Linked DNA regions of Drosophila melanogaster. The protein of the gene in region 1 interacts with the protein of each later gene in a pairwise test. Each region holds a gene or a part of one and is shown on either strand. Other genes may lie near its edges.

Evidence for each region. The genes of interacting proteins can lie anywhere in the genome.
Region 2: the proteins of Zw10 (region 1) and cal1 interact in a two-hybrid assay, tested with the Drosophila melanogaster proteins (one study listed by BioGRID).

Annotation. Positions count from the first base shown.
Region 1 is NC_004354.4:2,602,293-2,610,604, forward strand, and holds Zw10 (Zeste-white 10), read left to right. Parts: upstream 1-1,904; 5' UTR 1,905-2,010; coding exon 2,011-3,360; intron 3,361-3,421; coding exon 3,422-4,237; 3' UTR 4,238-4,532; downstream 4,533-8,312. Other genes in the region: Klp3A (Kinesin-like protein at 3A), read right to left, coding at 1-330, 402-553, 627-1,306; Smyd3 (SET and MYND domain containing, class 3), read right to left, coding at 4,534-4,904, 4,970-5,432, 5,678-5,811, 5,879-6,120, 6,179-6,375; eIF3g1 (eukaryotic translation initiation factor 3 subunit g1), read right to left, coding at 7,081-7,890. UniProt on the Drosophila melanogaster protein: Essential component of the mitotic checkpoint, which prevents cells from prematurely exiting mitosis. Required for the assembly of the dynein-dynactin, Mad2 complexes and spindly/CG15415 onto kinetochores.
Region 2 is NT_033777.3:17,085,176-17,094,219, reverse strand, and holds cal1 (chromosome alignment defect 1), read right to left. Parts: upstream 5,941-9,044; 5' UTR 5,819-5,940; coding exon 5,738-5,818; intron 5,681-5,737; coding exon 2,822-5,680; 3' UTR 2,282-2,821; downstream 1-2,281. Other genes in the region: cher (cheerio), read left to right, coding at 1-1,933, 1,996-2,180; GckIII (germinal centre kinase III), read right to left, coding at 6,494-8,422.

The DNA.
Region 1 (8,312 bases):
AGGGAATGGCACCCAAGCCTGCGGCTCCAACAGCGCTAATTAAGGAACTGCTCATCTTGCCGCCCGACAATAGCTCTACACGCAGCTTTTGGATGACGTCCTTCAGCATATTAACCTCCGCCGCATGCGGATCGAGATTGACCACTGGCTTGTTTTTGATTTGCAGTGCTCGATCCGCATAGCGTAGGGTGCTCAATGTCTCGGCCACGTTGTAGTCGGCGGGACTGACGCAAGCAATCATCAGCGTAATGGAATTACCGCCCAGGGAGTCCTGCAGCAGACGCGTCAGCTTGGACTGGCGATAGGGTATGTAGCCAGCGGCCTGGCCAGCTGCAATTTATATGGAATATATAAAAATGGAGATCAATTTTCAAGCCAGTGGCTAAATGATAGATACTCACATCCCAGGGCATTGATCACGTTGCCCAGGGCCAGAAGACCCTTATTGATGTTCACACCCTCTTTGAACCGATCGCCGCTGGCTAGGGTCTTTGAGCAGCGTTCAGAACCAGCCAGATCCACCAGGTTGAACCTGGACGTGGTAACGGATTGCCTATCGGAGATTGGAGGTCAAATGTGTATAAGCATTAAGTATTCTAACGAGGTGATGGCGGCCCACAACATACTTGCCGTCCAGCTTGGTGGCTACTAGCGTCAATGTGAATATGGCATGGGATCTTGAAGAGGTTTCATTCATAGCCGTGGCGGCCACAGCCCGTCCGGCTGAGCCGCGGATCAGATGATCGGTCACTTGCTGGGCGGATGTGACCACTAGCTCGGTGAGGCCCGGCATGATAATACGGTTCTTGACCTCCCTGATGTCTACGGTGGCCTTGTCCCGAGTTTTCGACGAAAAAAGGTCATAGAACTGCTCCTGGTAGAGCTCCACAAAAGAGCATGTGACAGCAAAACGAAATTCGCTCTGCATTTCCGCAATGGCTGTGAATATATCATGAACGGCGCGTGGTATAACGCCCACATGGTCATCTAACACTCCGTTGAAGGCGGTGCCCATAGTGTAGGTCTTTCCGGAACCCGTTTGTCCATATGCCAAGATTGTTACGTTATAGCCATTTAACAGCTTTTTCACTTTGGCCTGTACACACGTCTCGAATAGATCCTTTTGCGAGTCGTCAATGTCGAAGACATAGTTGTACGTATACGACTCATTCCGGTTGACTGTAACCTGTGGCGCTCCATCCGCCGATCGTTCGACGGCAATCCGGCAGCCGCGATCCAACTCGGACTGCACCAAGGGGCGCACGCGCAAGGCCACTGCCACACAGCTGGGATCCTCGCTGGACATCTGGGGGTAGGGGGAGGGAAGGACAATCATAACATTCCATCACCTTTACCGCCATCTCGACCAACACCACCAACCACTTACCTTCTCTGGGGCACAGCAAGTCCGACTTTGGTTAACTGATCAACTGGTTAGCACTTACAAAAACTTAGAATTTTGGTTGGTCTAGATTTTGGAGCAACGCGGCTTCTCCACGCGCAGCCCGGCACTCTCAATGAATTCGATTTTTGGATCAAGGAACTAAACTAATGAAACGCGACGCTAAGAAGCAAATGCATTTCTGCCAGTATTTTTAAAAATGGCGTTGTTATCGATTCGTTGCAGATGTCGATTAGTGGCGCGATCGACGGAGGTGCCGGTGTAGAAAGATTTCGATTTTTTTATAATTTGGCTCTTGAATAGCACATTTGCAAAAATGTGGTTGGACGATTTGTGCACGCCGATTTGACAAAATGAATCATTGACAGTGTATCTACATACTTATACATAAAAATAAAAGCTACCTAGATCTACAACTATTTTAGCTACTGCCAGTGATAAGAGCCCAATTCTTGTCAACTAGCCAATTCGCCGATAGCCGATAGCAGACAGCCGCACATATCTATCGCTTTTTTGAACAATCGTTGGTAGCAACAGGGAATTGCAGAAACCAGTTGTCTTGGGTTTCGCAAGAATTGGAAAAGGAGGATCTGGTCAAAGAGCAGGACATGGAGGAAGAGGCGCCGCGGTTCAATGTGCTGGAGGAGGCGTTCAACGGCAATGGGAACGGGTGCGCCAACGTGGAGGCCACCCAATCGGCCATATTAAAAGTGCTGACGCGCGTTAATCGCTTCCAGATGCGCGTCCGCAAGCACATCGAAGACAACTACACGGAGTTTTTGCCCAACAACACGTCGCCGGACATATTTCTGGAGGAGTCGGGGTCCTTGAATCGCGAGATTCACGACATGCTCGAGAACTTGGGTTCCGAGGGACTGGACGCCTTGGACGAGGCGAATGTCAAGATGGCGGGTAACGGCAGGCAGCTGCGAGAGATCCTTTTGGGTCTGGGTGTCAGCGAGCATGTGCTAAGGATCGACGAGCTGTTCCAGTGCGTGGAGGAGGCCAAGGCCACCAAGGATTACTTGGTGTTACTGGACCTTGTCGGTCGTTTGAGGGCTTTCATCTATGGCGATGATTCCGTTGACGGGGACGCGCAGGTGGCCACGCCAGAGGTTCGACGCATCTTTAAGGCTCTCGAGTGCTACGAGACCATCAAGGTGAAATACCATGTACAGGCATATATGCTGCAGCAGAGCCTCCAGGAGCGCTTCGATCGCCTGGTGCAGCTGCAGTGCAAATCCTTTCCCACATCGCGTTGCGTCACCTTGCAGGTGAGCCGGGATCAAACGCAGCTGCAGGATATTGTGCAGGCTCTCTTCCAGGAGCCCTACAATCCGGCGCGCCTCTGCGAATTCCTGCTGGACAATTGCATAGAACCGGTGATCATGCGCCCAGTGATGGCCGATTACAGCGAAGAAGCCGATGGTGGCACCTACGTTCGATTGTCGCTTTCCTACGCCACCAAGGAGCCCAGCTCAGCGCAGCTTCGCCCGAACTACAAGCAGGTCTTGGAGAACCTCAGGCTGCTGCTGCACACGCTGGCCGGGATCAACTGCAGTGTGTCCAGGGACCAACATGTTTTTGGCATTATTGGCGATCATGTGAAGGATAAAATGCTGAAATTACTGGTGGACGAGTGCCTGATACCAGCTGTGCCCGAAAGCACGGAGGAGTATCAGACATCCACGCTGTGTGAGGATGTCGCCCAGCTGGAGCAGCTGCTTGTAGACTCATTCATCATCAATCCCGAGCAAGATCGAGCCCTAGGGCAGTTTGTAGAGAAGTACGAGACCTACTACCGCAATCGGATGTATCGTCGAGTTCTGGAAACGGCGCGGGAGATCATCCAGCGCGATCTGCAGGACATGGTGCTGGTGGCGCCCAACAACCACTCAGCCGAAGTGGCAAACGATCCCTTCCTCTTCCCACGCTGCATGATCTCGAAAAGTGCTCAGGTAAGTCGTTCGCTAAACGAAACGATTGATTACGCACTAATGGATTCATTTTCGCCGGCAGGACTTTGTCAAACTAATGGACCGCATTCTTCGCCAGCCCACGGATAAACTGGGCGACCAAGAGGCCGATCCCATAGCCGGCGTCATTTCCATCATGCTGCACACCTACATCAATGAGGTGCCCAAGGTGCACCGCAAGCTGCTCGAGAGCATTCCACAGCAGGCCGTCCTGTTCCACAACAATTGTATGTTCTTCACACACTGGGTAGCGCAGCATGCGAACAAGGGCATCGAAAGCTTGGCGGCGCTGGCCAAGACACTGCAGGCCACCGGTCAGCAGCATTTCCGCGTGCAGGTCGACTACCAATCCTCCATCCTGATGGGCATCATGCAGGAGTTCGAGTTCGAGAGCACGCACACGCTGGGCTCTGGTCCACTGAAGCTGGTGCGTCAGTGCCTTCGCCAGCTGGAGCTGCTGAAGAACGTGTGGGCCAATGTGCTCCCGGAGACCGTGTACAATGCAACCTTCTGCGAGCTAATCAACACATTTGTCGCCGAGCTAATCCGTCGAGTGTTCACGCTGCGCGACATTTCCGCACAGATGGCCTGTGAGCTGAGCGATCTCATTGACGTGGTGCTCCAGCGGGCGCCCACGCTTTTCCGCGAACCAAACGAGGTGGTCCAGGTGCTCTCTTGGCTTAAGCTGCAGCAACTGAAGGCCATGCTGAACGCGTCGCTCATGGAGATCACAGAGCTGTGGGGCGACGGCGTCGGCCCGCTGACCGCCAGCTACAAGTCGGATGAGATAAAGCACCTAATCAGGGCGTTGTTCCAGGATACGGATTGGCGGGCCAAGGCCATTACGCAGATTGTATAGGGCGCGTGCGCCTTTTTTGCGAGCGAGGAATGTTGAACGGCGGATAGACATCACATTTGAGGTGGTAAACGGAGTCTAAATTTGATGATCACCATCAATGTGTCCTTACTTTAATTCCTTGAATTGTTTACCACAAATGCCAAAAGTAATAGAATTTGATAATCTTTAATTCTCCGAATGGTTTCTGTTGTACATAGAAAAGTAATTATCCACAAAAATCCATTCCATTCTTCCCGCAACGCAACACAATATTTAACTTAAGACTTATTTAAATGAATAAAAACAACTAAATCCCATTAGTGCGCCTCTTGTCGCGCTTGTAGAACGAGCATGTATAGCTGCTCAGTAAGCAGTCTGTGATCTCGGCCGTGGGTGACGGTTAGGATGCGTTGGGCCTCCTCCAGATGGTGCAGTGCCTCCTTGGAATGGCCCTCGTAGAGCTGAATCTTGCCCAGCTTCATGTGAAGCAGGCCCAATAGCGGATTCCAGGGTCCGTGGTATTTTCGAAAGCCTGGCAGCAAACGTTGCCCGTAATCCAGGGCGTCGCTCCACTTGCCCACTTCGATGGCTGCTTCGAAGGCCGCATCGAGCGTCTTGACGTACCACACATTCAGGGGATGGAACACGCCAGTCTGCTTGTCCAGACACACCTTGCACACATCGAGATCTGTGATCGAGAGAGTGAAAATGTGCTTATTATGGAGCTAATTCCATTTCGTCGCATCTACTCACAGGCCACGTCCTTCATGTTCTCCAGATTGTGCCGGGTCAGAGTCATCGCCTCGTTGAAGGCATTTCTCAACTTGGGACTGATGCCGGCATCGCATCGCGGGCAATTATTGCGGTCCACACTGATTCCCGCACCGCAGTTGCGATTGGGACACAGGGCAGCCAGCATCTCCTTCGATTCCTTGGCATCCGTGCACTTGCTGCACACGCATAGGAAGTAGTAGTGCTCCTTGAGGTCCAGACGCCTCTGCTCCGGCGTATTGAGCAGGTCGATGTAGCTGATGAAGATTTTCGACCAGTCCAGGCATTCCATGTCCTCGATCGCGTGGACGTGCAGCTCGTTGCCCTCGAAGGTGGCGACCGCATTTGGCTGGCAGCTATGGTCCGTAATCGAGACGCCCAGATATATGGCCGTGGCAATTGAGTTCATCTCGGCGTCCAAGATATTGAAGCCATTGGTGATCAGCTGCAAAGAGCAGAGAAGAAAGAGCATGAGCTCCCGCGTAACTGTGCGCCGGGGAATGTGAACCGAAGCCCTTCCTAGATAATCAATTGACTGGCAGAGCGCCAGGCATACATCATTGATTGCTATCTAATTTGGGCGACCAGGAGCGGCTGCATACGCAAGCGTCTTGGTTTCTCGATTCAGTACCAGTGCGATGAATCGCCCAATCCGCTCCTGCTCGCTCGCACAGGTGCCTGCACACTTACGCGACCATAGATGCTCATCAGTTCCGTCTTGTTTGGCACCGTGCTGGGACTCTCGGCCATCATATCGGTGAGGACGGCATGCAGCGAGTCCAAGTGCTCCAGTCGCATGGGATCGTTCTTGATTTCGGCGTAATCTGTGCACGTTAACGTGGATTAGCTAGGAATGACCATGCAAAGCGGTTCGCCCTTTGGTTTACTCACGGGACATGAGATCGCGAAACTTGCGGGAGCCGTGCTCGGTGTAATAGCCGCGGATCAGGTCTCCGCCGTGCTCCAGGCGCAGGATCAGTCGGCAGAGCATTCGGGCAGCATCGGGCACAACTCGAGGATGCACCTTCTTGAGGAAAGGACACTCGTGCTTGTGCTGGCCCCAAGCTTGCATCTGGCATGAGCGGTGGCAGTAGGACACATACCTGCAGTTGGAGCACTTCAGCACCTTGGTCCTGCAACGACGAACCCAAATTAGATAGCTCACAAAGGCAGCCACATGGCGAAACTTACGCCTCCAGGCAGTTATCGCACCGCTCCAGGCGGTACTGTGATTTCAAGACGAAGGCGAATGGTTTCTCCGTGAGGATCCGCTGTCCCCTTTTTATTTGCGGCGCCGGATTCTTTAGGTTCTTGGATTTGGATGAGCATGCGGATGCGGTTGCGGATGTGGTTGCGGATCTGGATGAACCAACGGTGGCGGTGGCCATTTCGCTCGAACGGAGCAACAACAAAGACTTTCGCCTGGGGGCCCGTCTCACTGACGACTGAAAATGAGCGCACACCTGAAGATCAAAAATATTGTTTCGAATGCTTTTTGAATATTTTGCGGCATCTGATTTCTATTTTTGGCCACAAAAACAAACACAATTTACGCAAATCGCTGGCAAACACAAAAACAACAACACCATGGTGTTTATTCGCATGCAAACGATGGCGTTGCCAGATCGGCTGGAATCATGCTTTCTACAGTGGGCACCGCGTAAGGTTAACTTGTTAACCATATGTGGGTAGCTGCATGTCGTTAAAAAATACACTTAACAAATCATATTCAAGTTTTTTAAGTAACAAATAAAAAATATTTCTTTTATATGTTGTTCCCAGTGTCTACGATTTGGTGGCCTTGCGTCCTTTAAAACGAGGGAGAAAGCTATATTAGAGCAAAAGTCGAAAGCATTTGTGTTGGTTGGTCCGCAAAACTAAAGAAGAGCGATTAAGTTATATCAAATATGAAAAATATACGATTCTAGATGCCATTGTATCCTTGCAGAGCATAGTCATCTGGTTTTCGGTGCCCATGGGGGCTGTTTTAAGATTTATTTGTAGCAAACTTAGCATAGCATAGGGACAAATTGTGTGATCGACTCGAACGGACTCCTATGAGCAGTAAACGCGGGTAGTGGGAACGGGACTAACTAATTGTTCTGGGGTTTCGACCATTCGACGCTGAGGATCAAGTGGTCGTAGCCGTGTCCATTGAGGATCTCGATGGCGGCGGCCGCATCCTTGCGCTGCTTGAAGTGCACGTAGGCGAATCCCTTGCAGAGTCCGGTGTTCTTGTCGCGGGCGAGATACATCTTGCTCTGCGGTCCAATCTTCTTCACCAGCTCCTCGAGATCCGCCTCGGTCATCGACTCCGACAGATTCGATATCCTAATGGCGGCCGTGTCGTCGCGTCCGCGCATTCCCAGCGCGCCCTTTTGGCTGTCCTTGAGGAACGGCGGCACATACTTGCCGGACTTGGGCGCATCGACGGCGGCCGCGGCGGCTGCCGAAGCCTTCTTCTCCATCATATTCGTGTCCATCGCCGTGCCCTTGTACGGGCAGTTGACCGACCAATGCTCACCGTTGCAGATACGGCACTTGGCAATATTCTTGGTGGGATCTAGCAGCGGATCGTTGGCCTTCTCGTCCTCCTTGGAGTTGAGGAACTGCATGATGATCTCCTCGGACACCATGGTCGTCTGCGAGTTGGGGCCGGGCTTGTCGTTCTTCGAGTCGCCGAACTTCGTCCAGGTGCGTCGCTTGGCCACCGTCTTGGGCACCACCTGCTTGGATATCTTGTACGTGCGCACCACCTTCGTCTTCTTGTCGTCCTTGTTGTACTTGTACTCCGTCACGTACTTCTGTCCGTTCTCCACCGTCTCCGTCGTCGGAGGTAGTCCACCATAGTCGAGCTCCACCTCGTCCGCCCAGGAGGATTTGATCGTTTCAACGCCCGGCATCTGAAAGGAATTGAGGGCGCAGTGAGTGGGGCTACACTGGGCGCTTGCTTGGGGTGCACTCACTCTGATTTTCAACGCGATTTGTATGCGAAATCGTAAATGCAAATTTCGCCACGAGTTAAGCGGATTTTTAATCAGCAACAAAAGAGTGTTACCCTGCCGCGGTCACAAAAATATGCCGTGTGTGTCCAAAAAATATACCGCTAATACCACTTTGCACTTTTTGGAATATACCATTTGAAATTTCGTTACATATAAGTTAATAAGTTATCGATTTGATTTTGAAGATCGCAAGCGACCGTTTATTGCAATTTATCATTTGAAACTAAATCTAGCGTACAAAATGTTTCCCTAAGTCCCTAGCAATCAAGTGAAGTCGTCGGCAGCGGCGCAGCAGGCGTCGGCCGCGGCGCAGCGCAGAA
Region 2 (9,044 bases), on another chromosome or scaffold:
ATCAAGGGATCGCCGTACTTCGCCAAGATCACCGGCGAGGGTCGCAAGCGCAACCAGATCTCGGTTGGCTCCTGCTCCGAAGTGACCATGCCCGGCGACATTACCGATGACGATCTGCGCGCTTTGAACGCCTCGATCCAGGCGCCCAGTGGCCTGGAGGAGCCCTGCTTCCTGAAGCGCATGCCCACTGGCAACATTGGCATCTCGTTCACGCCCCGCGAGATTGGCGAGCATCTGGTGTCGGTGAAGCGTCTGGGCAAGCACATCAACAACTCACCATTTAAGGTGACTGTCTGCGAGCGCGAGGTGGGCGACGCCAAGAAGGTCAAGGTTAGCGGAACTGGCCTCAAGGAGGGTCAAACCCATGCCGACAACATCTTCTCCGTGGACACGAGGAACGCCGGCTTCGGTGGTCTTTCGGTCTCCATTGAGGGTCCCAGCAAGGCTGAGATCCAGTGCACGGATAAGGATGACGGTACTCTCAACATCTCGTACAAGCCCACTGAGCCGGGCTACTACATTGTTAACCTGAAGTTCGCCGATCACCACGTGGAGGGTTCTCCTTTCACCGTCAAGGTTGCCGGCGAGGGCAGCAACCGCAAGCGCGAGAAGATCCAGCGGGAGCGCGATGCTGTTCCAATCACGGAAATCGGAAGCCAGTGCAAGCTGACATTCAAGATGCCGGGCATTACCTCGTTCGATCTGGCCGCCTGTGTCACCTCGCCTAGCAACGTGACCGAGGATGCGGAGATCCAAGAGGTGGAGGATGGCCTCTACGCAGTGCACTTTGTGCCCAAGGAGTTGGGCGTGCACACGGTGTCGGTGCGCTATTCCGAGATGCACATACCCGGATCACCGTTCCAGTTCACCGTGGGACCACTGCGCGACTCCGGCAGCCATCTTGTTAAGGCTGGAGGCTCTGGTCTGGAGCGAGGTGTTGTCGGAGAGGCGGCCGAGTTCAATGTGTGGACCCGCGAGGCAGGCGGTGGTTCCCTGGCCATTTCCGTGGAAGGTCCCAGCAAGGCTGACATCGAGTTTAAGGACCGCAAGGACGGCAGCTGCGATGTGTCGTACAAGGTCACCGAACCGGGAGAGTACCGCGTGGGCCTGAAATTCAACGATCGCCACATACCCGACTCACCATTCAAGGTGTACGTCTCCCCGGATGCGGGTGATGCCCACAAGCTGGAGGTTCAGCAGTTCCCGCAGGGTAACATCCAGGCGGACGCTCCCTACCAATTCATGGTCCGCAAGAACGGTGCCAAGGGTGAGCTGGATGCCAAGATTGTGGCTCCATCCGGAACGGACGATGATTGCTTCATCCAGGTGATCGACGGCGAGATGTACTCGGTGCGATTCTATCCACGCGAGAACGGAATCCATGCCATCCACGTCAAGTTCAACGGCGTCCACATACCCGACTCTCCATTCAGGATCAAGGTGGGCAAGGATGTGGCCGATCCAGCTGCCGTGCACGCCAGCGGCAATGGATTGGACGAAGTGAAGACTGGACACAAGGCCGACTTCATCATCAACACCTGCAACGCCGGCGTTGGCACGTTGGCCGTCTCCATCGATGGACCCTCCAAGGTGGCCATGGACTGCACAGAGGTTGAGGAGGGCTACAAGGTCCGCTACACCCCGCTCCTGCCCGGCGAGCACTACATCACGGTCAAGTACAACAACATGCACATCGTGGGCTCGCCATTCAAGGTGAACGCTACCGGCGACAAGTTAGCGGATGAGGGCGCCCAGGAGACGTCCACGGTGATCGTGGAGACCGTGCAGAAGGTGGCCAAAGGAGGCAAGAACACGGGCGTCCATCTGCCCACCTTTAAGTCGGATGCCAGCAAGGTGGTGTCCAAGGGTATGGGCCTGAAGAAGGCCTACATTGGCAAGCAGAACCAGTTCAGCATCAGCGCCACCGATGCGGGTGAGTAATATTCATACCCATTTTAAACTTGATGTTATAATATATCCTGCTTTTGTTAAAAGGCAACAACATCCTGTACGTGGGCATGTACGGACCAAAGGGACCCTGCGAGGAGTTCCACGTGAAGCACGCTGGCCACAACAACTATAATGTGCAGTATCTGGTGCGCGATCGCGGCCAGTACGTGCTCCTAATCAAGTGGGGCGAGGAGCATATACCCGGCTCCCCATTCCAGATCGATGTGTAGGGCGCTATATAGCCGGCCAGGCATATGTGTACGTGTAGATATATGCTTCGCATGTGTATGTGTGTGGGCGCGCATGTTCCAGGGTCAAAAGTCGTGTGTTTCTTGTTTTCATCATAACGCTCTTTGTTTAATTTTAATTTCTTGATTTATCATCATATTTTAGGTAAGTTTTTGTTATTTGTACATACATGGAAGGAAGAAGCTTCTGTTTTTCGACGCGCCATTTTCACTCTTTAAATTGATCTTACGTTTTATTTGTTTTCTTGTGAATACATAAAATTAACAATTGCCGATATGAATTTTGATAGACTTCATGGAAACGAACTAAAGCACAACTTCGACACACAAGAATTACTATTGCAATGCGAATAAATCTCTTAAACAATTATTTAATACTTAAGCGAAAAATTTATGATGATTAAAATGATTATGACGTATTATGTTTTCTATTATCACTATCGATCATGTAATTTACGTGAAATAAATCAAAACACAAAAAAATGAACTAAATACAACTTTTCTTATATAATTTCTTTTGCAAGGACGTGTTTAACACCACCAAGAAATCCGTCATGTACAACCAAAACATGAACCTAATATATTTAAAAAATAGGTCTGAAATATGAAACCTAACTACTTAATTACTTGTCACCGGAATTATTCTCGAGTATGCTGTACACCGTTCCATATCGATTGATTTGCTCGAAGATGTCATCATCGCTTGCACTTGAGCCCGAGATGTTCCCGATGTTCTGCGCATCCTGCGGTGCACTGAGAGCTGCGGCGAGTTGGGGAGTCGGCTGATAGTAAACCGAGTGTCGGCTATCAAAGCTCCGACTGCCGATGTGGTACTTCAGGTACTTGCGGGCCCAACGTTCTCCAATAATCTTTCCGAGTCCCTGCTCGGTCAGTGTGAAGCTGGCGCCTTCCGGCGCGGAAGGGCTGTGCAGCAGAATGCCGCGCTTGGTGATCTTGATGGTCGCTGGAATCTCTTGTCGTTCACTTGCAGGCGGTTCGCAGCCAGTGGTAGATGTAACTACAGTGCAGTCAGGATCCCCGCCTGTGGGGCTGCCCATCTCTTCCAAACTGCTCGTTGGGGAGCTCGAGCTGTTCGTCGCTGTCTTCTCCTCCGTAGTGCTAACAGCGGCTGCCCTCTTGACTCCTCGTCTCTTGGGAAGCACGCGGTAGCAAGCCGTGTCGTTGGCCAGAGCTGTGGAGTTGCACGCTACGCTTTGATTGTTGAATACCGTCATTGATTTCTCTGCAGGTGATTGGGGCTGCTTATTAGATGGCTCCCTTTTCGTTTTTTTGCGCTTCTGTTGTTCCTCCTTGTAGGTGGCCTTCGACATAGCCAGGGCTATTTGCAGATCATCCTCCGAGTTTGATGCCCCATCACCACCTTGCTTTAAAATGCTTGCCGTAGTTGAACATTGTGGTTTAGGTTTTGCCAGTACTTCTGATGATACATCGGACTCCTCTTCCCTGACTTGCTCTAACTTCGAAGTCGAAGTCACAGAAGAAGTTGTTTTCGTTTTTTCTGACTTTTTCAATCTCGAAGTAGACGGTTTTCCGGTCGCACCTGTCTTTCTAACTGACTGCTTTTTTGCCTTAGCTGCAACTTGTTTTTCAGATAAGGTTTCAGTGCTGTTTTTTTCCAGGATTTCGTTGTTAGTAATAATACTCTTTGGAATTTCGGACTTTTTACCAGAAACCCTTTTCTGTTTGGTAGACTTTTCAACGGCAGTCTTAGTCGATGAGTTCTCCATGTGCATGAAATCCTTATTTCTGTCGTCGAAAGATTCTCTTCCAATACAATTATCCACTTTTTCCATAAGACTCGATGCCTTTTCGTCAGCTATAGGGATTGTTGATATCAGCTGCTGTAATTCATTTCCGTTGAGTGGTGAAGTTTCCCTAATACCCCTCTTAGGCGCTTTCTTTGCTGGAGATTCAAATGTTGCAGATGTACCACTTGATCCGTCAATAGATACGCTTTTCATATGAGCAACTGGAAGATACGTGGATTCAATTGGAGAGTTCGTTGCAGTCGGCCCTTCTTCTTGTATTTGTGCCAAACCATTGGGACGCGCTTCTTTTCTTATAGCCTTCTTCGCCGAGGAAGTAGGATGGGTAATCTTACCAGCGGCATTTGGAGTTGGAAATGTCATTCCTTTTTTTTTATCCGAACAGCATAGCAATCCTTTTTTAGCCAAGGCGTTATCTTCATCGGAAGACTCACTATCAAACATTTGCATATACTTTTCTTTCGATAAGACCAATTTGGAAACAGAGGTAGCTTTCGAACTCAGTGGCTTTTGTTCGTGACCTTTGGAGCATACCGGTTGATGACTAACTTTCCTGGCATCCATCGGTTGGTGCTTTTGCTTCCTAGTCTTTTCCTGTGTCTCCTGGGTCAAATGATTACTTCTGTTCTCCACCACCCACTCTTCGGTTGAGCTATTGGCAATGTGAATGACATTGGAGCATAGGCGGTCACTATTGCAGCAACTACACTCGTTCTCTGGCAGCCTTGGTCTCAAGTCCATTTCCATATCGAAGGTGTGTTGGCGGCGCATGGTGTGCATGGTTCGAGATGCCATCTGACGGTGGTGATACTCGCGTTGACCTCTGCCGTACGGGCAGGACTGGTAGACACTTCTAGACAGAGCGTAATGCCTCCGGCAGGAGTGGCAGTCGCAGCCGCCGAATGATGTATCCTCCTCGCTGCTGGATGCCGAGTCAAACATCCAGGAGTTTATGCGCCGCTTACGCAGATTCTTGCGTCTCATATGATGGCCGCTGGAGTAGACGCATTGCATCGGCGTAGACGCCAGATATGCAAGCTGGCGCTCCCTCTCACGTCGGCGAAGCAACACGGCCTGCATGTGGTGACGATGCTCCTGCTCGTCACCATAGGCGTACTTTGCCCGCAACTCGTCTCGTTTGTGAGAGTGTTTACGGTACATCTTAATGGTGGTCATGTTCTTGTTGGTCATGTGAGCATTGCGCCGACGACTCTGCTGGATGTAGCGAGCCGTGTCGATGGAGTGCATCGATTCGTCGCTTTCGTCTGAGATTGAGTTGTGGTGCGGTGGAAGGTACTTTGGTGGTGAGGCCTCCAGGTAGACGCTGTTGTGCCTTCGCATCCAGCGGCCCACATGGTGTTCGATCTGCTTTTCATCAAAAGTGTCCAGAATGCGATCCAGTCCCGCCTCCCGCCACTTGCGCTTGTGCTCCTCGACCACCGGCACCGTTTGATTAAGGATTTCCTCGATCTCCGCCTTTGCCTCGTTATCCTCATTGGCGCAAAGTATAAGTGTCAGTTCTGTAACGCTGGTGGCGTTGATATGGCCCATTTCAAGCTTTGCCTCGTCGGGCACATTGTCCTCCACAGCCTCCTTTGCCACGTCATCCAGGTCGGGGTCCTCGTCCTCGCCGTGGAACAAGTTGTCGAACTCGGCCACATCTATTTCCATGCCGTCTTCCAGGCTGGCAAAATCCTATAAAACAATATCGTCCATCAAGAAGAGACGCCACTTGGGTTTCTACGGACTCACCGCCATTTTACTGGACCAGGCCTTAGAGCGCTCGTAGACCATTGCCTCCAGTGTTTCCTCGTCCACCACCGCATTCGCCATGGTTATGTAGTTATCAGTTCACGGAATACTTGATTAAAATTTATAAAAACTAAAAGAAATCTTAAAACACAAAAATAAAGAGTCAACAAAAATGGCGTTGCCACTGGTGTTACCGTCTCCAAGGCGCCAAAAAATACACCAAAACGCGACTTAACTAAACACGTCCCATTTTTATTTATATAAAACAAATAGAAAACTTGGGTTCCTCATTTCCAATAAGGTCGTTTTGATGTTCTATTTGCACGGCTTTTTGATTATAATTATTATTTATTTAACGATATCCTGTTTATTCAATTTATTTATTTTTTTATTTACTGCATTTTTCGCTAGCGTCCAGCGTTGCCAGATCAAATGAATACTCGGAGTCACCAATGATGCCAAGTTCGCATTAGCGCGCCAAAATCGAATTGTTTATTTTTGTGGGGTTTTTATTTTGAAGTTATATATGTTTTACATTAGATTAATATTGCAGATAAACAAACGAATACATATTATATGCTTAAATAACTGTTCAATTGAAATACATGTACATCGCTCCCGGTCCTCTGTTGGCCACTAAATGTCGGAATATGTCTGCTCCAGCGTTTCAGTTTGTGTTGTCTCGGTGTCGTTAATAAAGTTGTGTATATATTAAAATAGGCTGCTTGGAATCGGAATTTGCTACGGCTTCGCCAGCTACTTGCGGTTGCGTATGGCGCGGTCCATGATCGTATTGATTCGCGTCTCCGAGTAACCAGGAACGAGCATGTGGATCAGCTCTTTCATAAATAGGTCGCTCACTCCCGGACTGGAACGTTCGGCCAGCTCGAACACAGACTTCAGGTCGCCGATGTCGCTGCCGACGCCTATGTTACGGCCGCCTGATCCTCCGCTTCCTGCAGATCCTCCGCCGGAGTACTTTCGCTGGATGTCGCTCAGCACGGGGAAGAGGAAGTTGTTCAGACAGGCGCTGTTCGTTTGGACTAGGCGTTGTCCCGCCCCAGAGTGCTTGACATGGCTGGCATGGTTGGTGGCCACATGCTCCTCGTGGCTGTGGTTGTTGCTACTGCTGCTGCAGCTGGCAACCAGCGCGGCGTTATTTGCATGGAATGATTCACGTTGGCTGCTGCGGCGCTGTTGCTGCTGCTCAGCCGTCGATGGAGTCGGAACCGACGACTGCAATGGCAGGCCCAAAGAGGCACGGCGATCCTCTACTTGATCCAGAGGGGCGGCGGATCGCGACTGGCGCAGCTCCGGCTTCGAGCTGGAACGCTTCTGCTGCAGCTCACTGGCCGACGACGAGCTTGTGACGCTGCTCGGCGGAGGAGCTGCGTTCAGCATGGTGGTGGTGGCATGCTTGTTGCTCAAGTTTCTGATGTTATTGTTGTTAATGTTGTTGTGGTTGTGGTTGTGGACGTGACTGTTCTGGGGGGGCAGGGCGGATGCAGAGGAGACACCTTCGTTGGCTGTAATGACCGATACGGAGGAAGCTGACGCCGCCACGGCGGACACAGAGGACGATAATGCATTTGCAGCAGGGGACGCTTGCACGCCACCACCGCCGGCTGGCGAGTGTGTGGTCTGCATCAGCTTCTGCATGGTTAGCTCGTGCTCCTGCAACTGGAAGCTGTTGACACCCGCCCGCGGAGCACTGTTGATATGCAGGCCCTTGACGGTCATGATCCAGGGCTCATCCTGGCTGCTGCCGCCCTGCTTGGCGTCCGAGTCCGAGTCAGAGTTCTCAGACTCCGTCTCACTTTCGTCGCCCTTGGAGACCTTCCACTTCTTGAAGCGGTCGATCAGGTCAATCAGATAGGCGTTCTTCTTGGCCTTCTTGATGAACGGGTACTTGAGCAGCTCCTTGGCCGTGGGCCTGTTCTCCGGGTCCTTGTTTAGGCAGGCCTCCACAAAGTCCTTAAAAGACTTGGTATAGCTGCCCGTCAGCTGGGGTGGATTGTTCTTGGGGATGAGGAAGAGCACGCGCATCGGATGCAGCTCCGAATTGGGCGGCTCACCCTTGGCCAGTTCGATAGCCGTGATGCCCAACGACCAGATGTCCGCCTTGGCATCGTACTGTGACTGCTTGATCACCTCGGGCGCCATCCAAAAGGGCGTGCCCACGAAGGTGTTCCTCTTGGATGTGGTGTTGGTCAGCTGGCCAGCGACTCCAAAGTCCGCCAGCTTGACATCGCCCTGTTCGCTCAACAGAACATTGGCCGCCTTGATGTCGCGATGCAGCTTGCGCTCCGAGTGCAGGTAGTCCAGGCCCTTAAGCACTTCGCGCAATATGATCCCGATGTGCATTTCCTCGAAGGAGCCGGCCTTCATGAGGTCCAAGGCGGATCCACCGCCCAGGTACTCCATGATGATCCATAACTTGGTGCCCTTAAGAAAGCTGCCATAGTACTTCGTCACGTACGGCGAGTCGCACTGCGACAGCACCATGATCTCCTGCTGGATGTCGTCGATCTCATCTTCGGCCTCCTCCAGATCGATGATCTTGATGGCCACCACTTGCTGGGTGCGGTTGTCGATGCCCTTGAACACCTCGCCGAAGGAGCCCTTGCCGATGCGCTCCTGCTTGGTGAAGATGAGCTCTGGATCGACTTTCTCCGTCCAGGACATGTTTCCTATCTGGTTTCTACTTCCCACTTCGTGGCTTCTGGCTCTCCTCCTCCACCTCCTTCTGGATTCACGGGTTTCCTTGTTACTCCGCTGGCTCTCGACTGGCTTGTGTTGGACCCAACTGGACTGAACTGTTCTGCGGGCTATTTGGTGGCTGAACTACTCTGCGGGGGCACTTGACTAATAATTTTTTCGTTGGTATCTCATCTAATCCGAGAAATCTCTCTTTTTTTTGCTGTATCGCAGCAGTATCGAATACCGATTGAATATCGATATTCTCCTGTCGATATCGATATCTTTCCAGCTGTTGATTAGAGCCGCCAGCCGAAAAATAAATATTAAAATTAATTTTTTATTTTAATTGTAATAATATTTATTTCACGATTCGTATGTATTTTCTTAACTCTGGCAGAGCAATTCTTATTCTTTCACTAATATAATAGTTATTAATTTCCCTAAGATTATTTAACTCGTTAGCAGTTCCGAAAAGCTTAAATAAGATTAACTTATTCATTTATTTTCCTATTCGACTTGTGTCAAAGCTTACAATATATAAATATTAGATGTTAACTATTTTATTTCTTTACCCACTTCTGTAATTACAAAACCCATTTGGCAGCGT